2 linked regions of the Ovis aries genome follow. The protein of the gene in region 1 interacts with the protein of each later gene in a pairwise test. Links are inferred from orthologs where the notes say so. Each region holds a gene or a part of one and is shown in the gene's direction. Other genes may lie near its edges.

What was found. The genes of interacting proteins can lie anywhere in the genome.
Region 2: the proteins of FLACC1 (region 1) and SULT2B1 interact in binary tests that used the Homo sapiens proteins (3 or more experiments, as listed by UniProt). The two-hybrid records come from large-scale screens. The link is inferred for Ovis aries from reciprocal best matches to the Homo sapiens genes FLACC1 and SULT2B1.

The regions. Positions count from the first base shown.
Region 1 is NC_056055.1:203,676,321-203,680,464, reverse strand, and holds the start of FLACC1 (flagellum-associated coiled-coil domain-containing protein 1), read left to right. Parts: upstream 1-1,304; 5' UTR 1,305-4,144.
Region 2 is NC_056067.1:54,985,871-54,989,520, forward strand, and holds part of SULT2B1 (sulfotransferase 2B1), read left to right. Parts: intron 1-181; coding exon 182-321; intron 322-3,650. UniProt on the Homo sapiens protein: Sulfotransferase that utilizes 3'-phospho-5'-adenylyl sulfate (PAPS) as sulfonate donor to catalyze the sulfate conjugation. Responsible for the sulfation of cholesterol.

The DNA.
Region 1 (4,144 bases):
TCATTGGAAAAGGCCCTGATGCTGGGAAAGATTGAAGGCAGGAGAAGAAGGAGACAACAGAGGACAAGATGGTTGGATGGCATCACCGACTCGATGGACATGAATATGAGCAAGCTCCAGGAGTTGGTAATGGACAGGGAAGCCTGGCGTGCTGTAGTCCATGGGGTCGCAGAGTTGAACACAACTGAGTGACTGAACTGAACTGATCTGATGGAGTAGAATGAATGGATGAACTTATACCAATGTTCTAAAAGCTCTGGCTTATGACAAATCATGAAATCAATAAAGTAGATTTATAATCAGCTTTCATTTTAAATAGAAGAATTGTTAAAAATAGTAAAAGAAGGAACAGATTGGGAGTCTGGTCTTAACATGTACACACTACTGCATTTAAAATAGATAATCAACAAGGACCTACTGTATAGCACAAGGAACTCTGCTCAATATTCTGTAGTAACATAAATAGAAAAAGAATTTGGAAAAGAATGGGCATATGTATATGTATAACTGAATTACTTTGCTGTACACCTGAAACTAACACAACATTGTTAATCAACTCTGCTCCAATATAAAATAAATTTTTAAAATAATTTTTAAACATAAATGAAAATTTAAAATTATTTTAAAAAGAAAGATAAAATAGTATGTAATAAGGGTATTATTTCATGCAATTTTTTAAAATAAAATATGAAGGAAATGGCAACCCACTCCAGTATCTTGCCTGGAAAATCCCAGGAACAGAGGAATCTGGTGGGCTACAGTCCATGGGGTCGCGCAAAGAGTCGGACACGACTGAGCGACTTCACTTTCACTTTCATGTACAATACAGTGAGGTGCGGTAGAATAAAAATAAAAGTTACTGGTCTTTGATAAACAAGCTTCTTTTTTTCTGTAATGAGTAAAAGCAGTCTTCTTTTCCGGCAAAAAAAATCTGAGCTTCTTGGTAATTGAAAAGGACTCCTACCCCGGGGTCCTGGCACTTTAACAGATTTCAAAGCCTAAAATTCAAGGAAGAAAGTGCCTGCTTTAGAGTTTTAGGTTTTTGTGAGCAAATGACAAGAATTTAAAACCCACCACAGATCCTGCGACAGCCTACTAAGCCTAGGAGTGCTACTTAATTCTGTTTCCTCCGGTAGTATGTCTTAAACATACCTTGTCTCACATCTTGGAGAGTTTCTTAATGGCTGCTTCTCCAGACTTCTCTCTTAAGAGCTGAGGGCCTGAGCCAATGAGATGCTGCCGTTCTGTTTCCATAGCAATAAAAGAAACAAACCTTCCCCCACCATCTGCTAAGGAAATATCTCACAACTCCAACTCTCACTGGAGAGTCTGAGTGAAGGAGTGACTTTCTCCTCTGGTTTGACTTACATTGCAATACTAGAAGACTCAAACTGGATTGTCTTCAGAAGGGAAATTCATGCTCATGCCAGGTCAGCCTTTGTGAAAGACTTTGACTGGATTCCCTGGAAAACTGTGGATTTTCTGCTCTGGCATTTCAATCACTTGGAATGACCACTAAAGTCTCGCATCCTGGAACCCTCCGGATTTGACCTAAAATTAATTCTGATTTTGCATTGATGAAAAAGAGCTTCTCTAACCTTATGGTGACTTTAAGACTCTTGAATTGAAAAGAAACTACATGGGGAAAACGAATCTTTGGGCAGTCCAAGGTAAGCTCTTTGGAAAAATGTTTCATAAAAATTTTTTTCTTCTGATTATTAATGTGAGGCTCAGCTGCACACTGGTGACTACAGGGTCACCAATTGGCACATTCAGTCCATGAGTCTCAGGTAAAATCATCAGAAAGAGATATAGGAAAGGAAAAGAGTGAGGAGCAAGATTCTAAAACATACACACACCCCTATAGTCTTGGAGCCATAAAATGCACATCCAGCCACTGTGTATGCATTAGATCTATCCATGCTGATATGGAAATATCTATTAGATACCCTGTTGTTGTTTAGTTGCCAAGTCGTGTCCAACTGTTTTGTGACCCCTTGGATTTGTAACTTCCCAAGCGGGTCTGTCCATGGGATTTCCCAGGCAAGAATACTAGGGTGGGTTGCCATTTCCTTCTCCAGGGGATCTTCTTAACCCAGGGATCAAACTTGAGTTTCCTGCCTGGCAGACAGATTCTTTACCACTGAGCCACCTGGAAAGTCCAGATATACATACACCAAAAAAGGCAAGGCATGGTGTAGTGTGTAAAAACTTTTTAAATATTATAGAATATTTCTGGAAAGATACCCAAAAAGCTGTTAACAGTGATTCCCTCTTGGAGGAATATGAAGGCAGAGGGGTGACATTTAGCTTGTATGCACAGTTATTGAAATATAAAATACTGCCATACTGGCTGTTCATATACATTGTTCAAGCCCCTCAAATGTCATGCCTGCCTCCTTGGTTACCTCCACAATTCTCCTGGCACCCCCAGACCTCCTCAGGATTCAGCGAGTGGTTACTACCTGGTATGGGGATGGGAGTGGGGTCCTCTGTCACCCTGTTACACTCCATAACCCTCAACTATTCTGCTTGTTCCATACCCTTGTCTTACTGGTTGTTAATAATTTTGAGTATCATTCCCATGGGTATTTGGAAGCCTTTACTTTTTAAGAGCAAAAGAATATGCACCAAGGCATTGCTCATAATTGGCATAATCGGGAAAAAAGGAAACAAGCAAATGTTTATTTACAAAGCTAGCTAAAACTATAAATGGGTACATTCATAGAAGAGAAATTTACAAAGTCATGATAATATAGAAACAAATTTCAGGCTTTTTAATTTTTTTTTGTTGTTTACTTTTTGTTCCCTTGGGTCTTTGTTGCTGCACGTGGGCTTTCTCTAGTTGCAGTGAGCGGGGCCACTCTCTTGTTGTGGAGCATGGGTTCCAGGGTGTGAGGGCTCAGTACTTGTGGCACGTGAGCTTAGTTTCCCTGCAGCACGTGGAATCTTCCTGGACCAGGGATGAAACCTGTGCCCCCTGCTTTGGCAGGCAGATTCTTAACCATTGGACGACCAAGGAAGTCTTCAGTCTTGTTTAAAAGGTTTGTTTTAAATAATTAAAATTATAGATTTGCTTTAAATTTTCTTTAAAATAATCTAGTGTTAGAAAAGTGGATTAACTCAGTTCACTGCTCTGTGATGACCTAGAGGGGTAGGGTGGGGGAGGGGCAGGGAGTCTCAAGAGGGAGGGTGTATATGTAAACTTACAGTTGATTCACATTGTTGTACAGCAGAAACAAGCACAACATCTTAAAGCAATTATTCTCCAATTTTTAAAAAGGTGAGCTAAGATGGACGAGACTAGCCATAAATTGCTAGTTATTGTAGCTAGGTGACAATACGTGTGAGTTCACTGTACTCTTTTCTCTACTTCTGTACATTTTAGGAATTTCCCCACAGTAAACTTAAGTTTAAAAATAATTCTATGATTGTATATGTATATAGTTACTGACTATATGTTTAAAAAGTCATATCTAGGATGTAAGTAGAATTTGCTTTCATTTATGGAAAATTATGCATCTGTTTCTCTAGACTAGAGAGAATTCTAGAGGGCACTCACCAAAATATTTTCAGTGGTCACCTCTAGATGCTAGTATTTTGGATTATTTTTACTTAGTTGGGCTTTTCTGTGTTATTTTCTTTACAACAAACATAATTCAATTTAACACATATTTTTTTAAAAGCCTATTCTCCTACAAATTTAGAAATAAAAGCTTCTGTAAACAAAATACCTTCTTCATAATGTTCCTAAACTCAATTGCCAGTTTTAGAAACCCTAATGTATGCAAGGCAGTGTGCTGAGAACTTTCATGACATGGTCTCATTTCATGTGCCTGAGAGCCCAGTGAGGAGGCATGAATTTTTTCCCCATTTTGCAGATGAGGAAGCTGAGACTCATAAAAATGAAAGTACATTTATTGATGTCCCACAGATGATAAGCAGATTTCCTGTGCAAAATCAGACCCAACTGATTCCAAACCCAACGGAAATTTTAGTAAAGAATGTTGTGAAGAGGGATATAATGGAATATTACTAAGTCACAAAAAAAGAATGAAATCTTGCCATTTGCAATAATATGAATGGACCTAGAGACTATTATGCCAAGTGAAACAAGTCAGAGAAAGACAAACAGTATGATTTC
Region 2 (3,650 bases), on another chromosome or scaffold:
TCCGAGTTTCCACTGGGAGGCGTGGGTTCTATCGCTGGTCGAGGAACTGAGATCCTGCATGAGGCAGCATGGCAAAAAATAATAAATTAATTAATTAAAATTTTAAAAAGGCTCTCTCAGGGGTGACCTCTGTCCGTGCCTCGTCTCCGGTCCTCACGGTGTCTCCCCTACCTTCCTACAGCCAGAATTTGTCCGGCGAATACTTCAGGTACAAAGGCATCCTCTTCCCCGTGGGCATCTACTCGCCTGAGAGCATCAGCCTGGTAGAGAACGCCGAAGTACAGGACGATGACATCTTCATCGTCACCTACCCCAAGTCAGGTACCTGCCGGACCGGGCTGGGAGGGGGGGGCACTAGGGAGAGTGCTGGGTGAGTGTGGGGCCGAGGGTGAGAGGGGGACACCGACAACAAAGGGGGAGAAGAACGCGGGAGGCGCGGTGGGGACTGGGACCCATTTCGTCTGTTCAGAGCCAAGGCTTTGCAATGGCCGGTCCCTCCGCCAGGGGGCACCCTTCCCCGATCCCCTGGGTGCCTCGCTCCCTCCCCGGCCCCTACGCTGGCTCTTGGAGACGTTTCTGGCTAAAACAGCTTCTCCATCCTTGAACTCTCCTCACACTTGTCTTCCCTGCCAGCCACTGTATTATATTTCCATTGGTTGATTTAGTGTCCGTCTTCCTCACTAGAACCTGGCTCCATGAGGGTAGATTTTCTGGTTCCTGTTGATCGTGACCGTGTTCGCTGAGCCTAAAACAGTGAAACACGTTCAATAAATATTTGTGAAAAGAAGGGAGGAAGAGAGGGCGGAAGGAAAGATCTTAATTTTCTCCACTTGGTTACTGAAATGCTGCTTACTAACTGTCTGCCAGGTGCAGAGACGCAGCTCTGAACAAAGATATTTTTTCAAAATATTTTTGAAGAATTTCAAAATATTATATTCACCGTTTTCAACATAGAGTTCTATGAGGAGTTTTTGGGTAACACTTAAAAGAATAATTCTCATACCATACGCTTTGTGTGCTTCCAAATCCACCCATTGGAGAGTGTCCTTTGGCTGTAGTACATTCACAGAGTTGTGCAAACCATCACTATAGTCAGTTTTAGAACATTTCCATTACTTACAGAGCTTCCCTGGTGGCTCAGATAGTAAAGAATCCGCCTGTGATGTGGAAGACCCGAGTTCGATCCCCGGGTCAGGAAGATCCCCTGAAGAAGCGAATGGCTACCCACTCCAGTATTCCTGCCTCGAGAATTTCATGGGCAGAGGAGCCTGGCGGGCCACAGTCCATGGGGTTGCAAAGAGTCAGACATGATTGAGGCATTCACACATTCACTTCACTTTCAACAAGAAACCCTGTACCCATTAGCCGGCACCTCCCAACCCCCACCCCCCCACCCCCAAGGCTTAGGCACCGTTATTCTGCTTTCTTACTCTATGACTTTGCCCATTCTGGACATTTCGTGTAAGTAGAATAGTACAATAGCTGGTCTTTTGTGTCTGGCTTTTTTTTTCACTTAGCCTACTTTTAAAAAATAATTTTATTCATTTATTATTTATTTTTGGCTATGCTGAATCTTCGTGGGTGCGTGGCCTTTCTCCGGCTGTGGCAAGCGGGGGCTGCCCTCCGGTTGCAGTGCCTGGGCTTCTCATTACGGTGGCTTCTCTTGCTGTGGAGCAGGGGCTCTAGGTTGCACAGGCTCCTGTCGTTGCGCCACATGGGCTCAGGACTTGTGGCTTTGCAGGCTCTGGTGCCCAGGCTCAGTAGCTGTGGTGCCTTTGGAGCTTAGTTGCTGAAGCACGTGGGATCTTCCCGGACTAGGCATCGAACCTCTGTCTCCTGCACTGGCAGACTCTACCGCTGAGCCACCGGGGAAGTTCCAGCATGTTTGAGGTTGACACACATCATTATCAGTGCTTCATCCCTTTTTATAGCAGAATAATATTTCGTGATATGCGTGTACTGCCTGTGTGCTCAGCCTCTTCGGTTGACTCTCAGTGACACTAGGGACTGTAGCCCGCCAGGTTTCCCTGTCCATGGGATTCTCCAGGCAAGGATACTGGAAGGGGTTGCCATTTCCTTCTCCAGCGATCTTCCCAACCCAGGGATCGAACCCTCGTCTTCTGCACTGCTGGTGGATTCTTTTCTGAAGGGGTATACTGTTGGGTATACTATGTTATGTTTATTCATTTATCAGTTGATAAGCAGTCAGTTGGGTTGTTTTCACTCTCTGACTCTTAATAAGGCTTGTAGGAACATTGATATACAAATGTGTCTATGGACATGTTTTCATTTCTCTTGGAGTTCTACGAATTTTGAAAGACGTACACAGGAAACACTACAATTGAGATGTAGAATGGTTCAGGGAACACCCTGGCGCCTTGAATGGTTAGGGCTCGGTGCTTTCCCTGCCCTCAAAAACCCCTTCACACCCTTCTGTGATCAGCTCTTTGCTCATCCCATCCCCCAGCAACCAGTCATCCGTTTGCTGCCCCTGTAGTTATGCCTTTCCCAAAACGCCACACACATGGAGTCAAACTCCACGCAACTTTTGAGACTGACGTCTTGCACTCAGAGTAATGTATTTCATTTTTTTCTTAATTTATTTTTGATTGAAGGATAATTACAATATTGTGTTGGTTTCTGCCATATGTCAACAGGGATCAGCCATTGGTATGCATATGTCCCGTCCCTCTTGAGTCGCTCTCCCTCCCCGCCCCTCCAGGTTGTCACAGAGCCTGGGTCTGAGTTCCCTGAGTCAGACAGCAAACTCCCATTGGCTGTCTGTGTTACATACGTTTCCACGCTACTCTCTCCATCTGTCCCTCCCTCTCCTTCCTACACCTGCCCCCAGGGGTGCTTTTCAGATTCATCCAAGTTGTTGTATTTGTTACTGCTGAGGAGTACTCCAGAAAATGGATGGACCGTGCGGGTTTTATACATTCATCTGCTGAAGGACACTTGGCTTGTTTCCAGGTTGGGCTGAGTATGGCGAATACAACTGCCATAATTCATTTCACACAGGTCTCTGCATGGAAATACTTCTCCACTTATCTTCAGTAAATACTTAGCAGTGGAATTGTTGAGTTTATGGAAGTACATATGCTTAACTTGAGAAACTGCTAAACTGGTTCCAAAGTGGAAACCATCTTGGACTTTGGGGAAAGCTGGTTTACCCTCTTGTGTTCTCACCAGCAAGATCGGTGCACTCCAGAGGCTCTGCTTCCTTGCCAACACTTGATATTGTCGAGGTTTTTTTTTTAAACCATTCTTCTTTTTTTTTCTGGTCACACCACAGAGAATGTGGGATCCTAGTTCCCCAACCAGGGACAGATCCCATGCTACCTGTAGTGGAAGCAGGAAGTCTTACCCTCTGGACCACCAGGAAAGTCCCTGCAAAATCATTCTAGCAGATGTGCTCTAGTATTCCACTGTGGCTTGTATTCGCATGTCTCTGCTGGCTAATGAAGCGGAGCATTTTTCCAGAGGCTTACAAACCATCATATATCTTTTTTTTTTTTTTTTTTGCAGCTCTGGGTCTTCCTTGCTTTCTGTGCAGGCTTTCTCTAGCTGCAGCAAGTGAAGGCCACTGTTCATCGTGGCGCGCGGGCTTCTCACTGCAGCGGCTTCTCTTGCTGCGGAGCAGGGCTTCA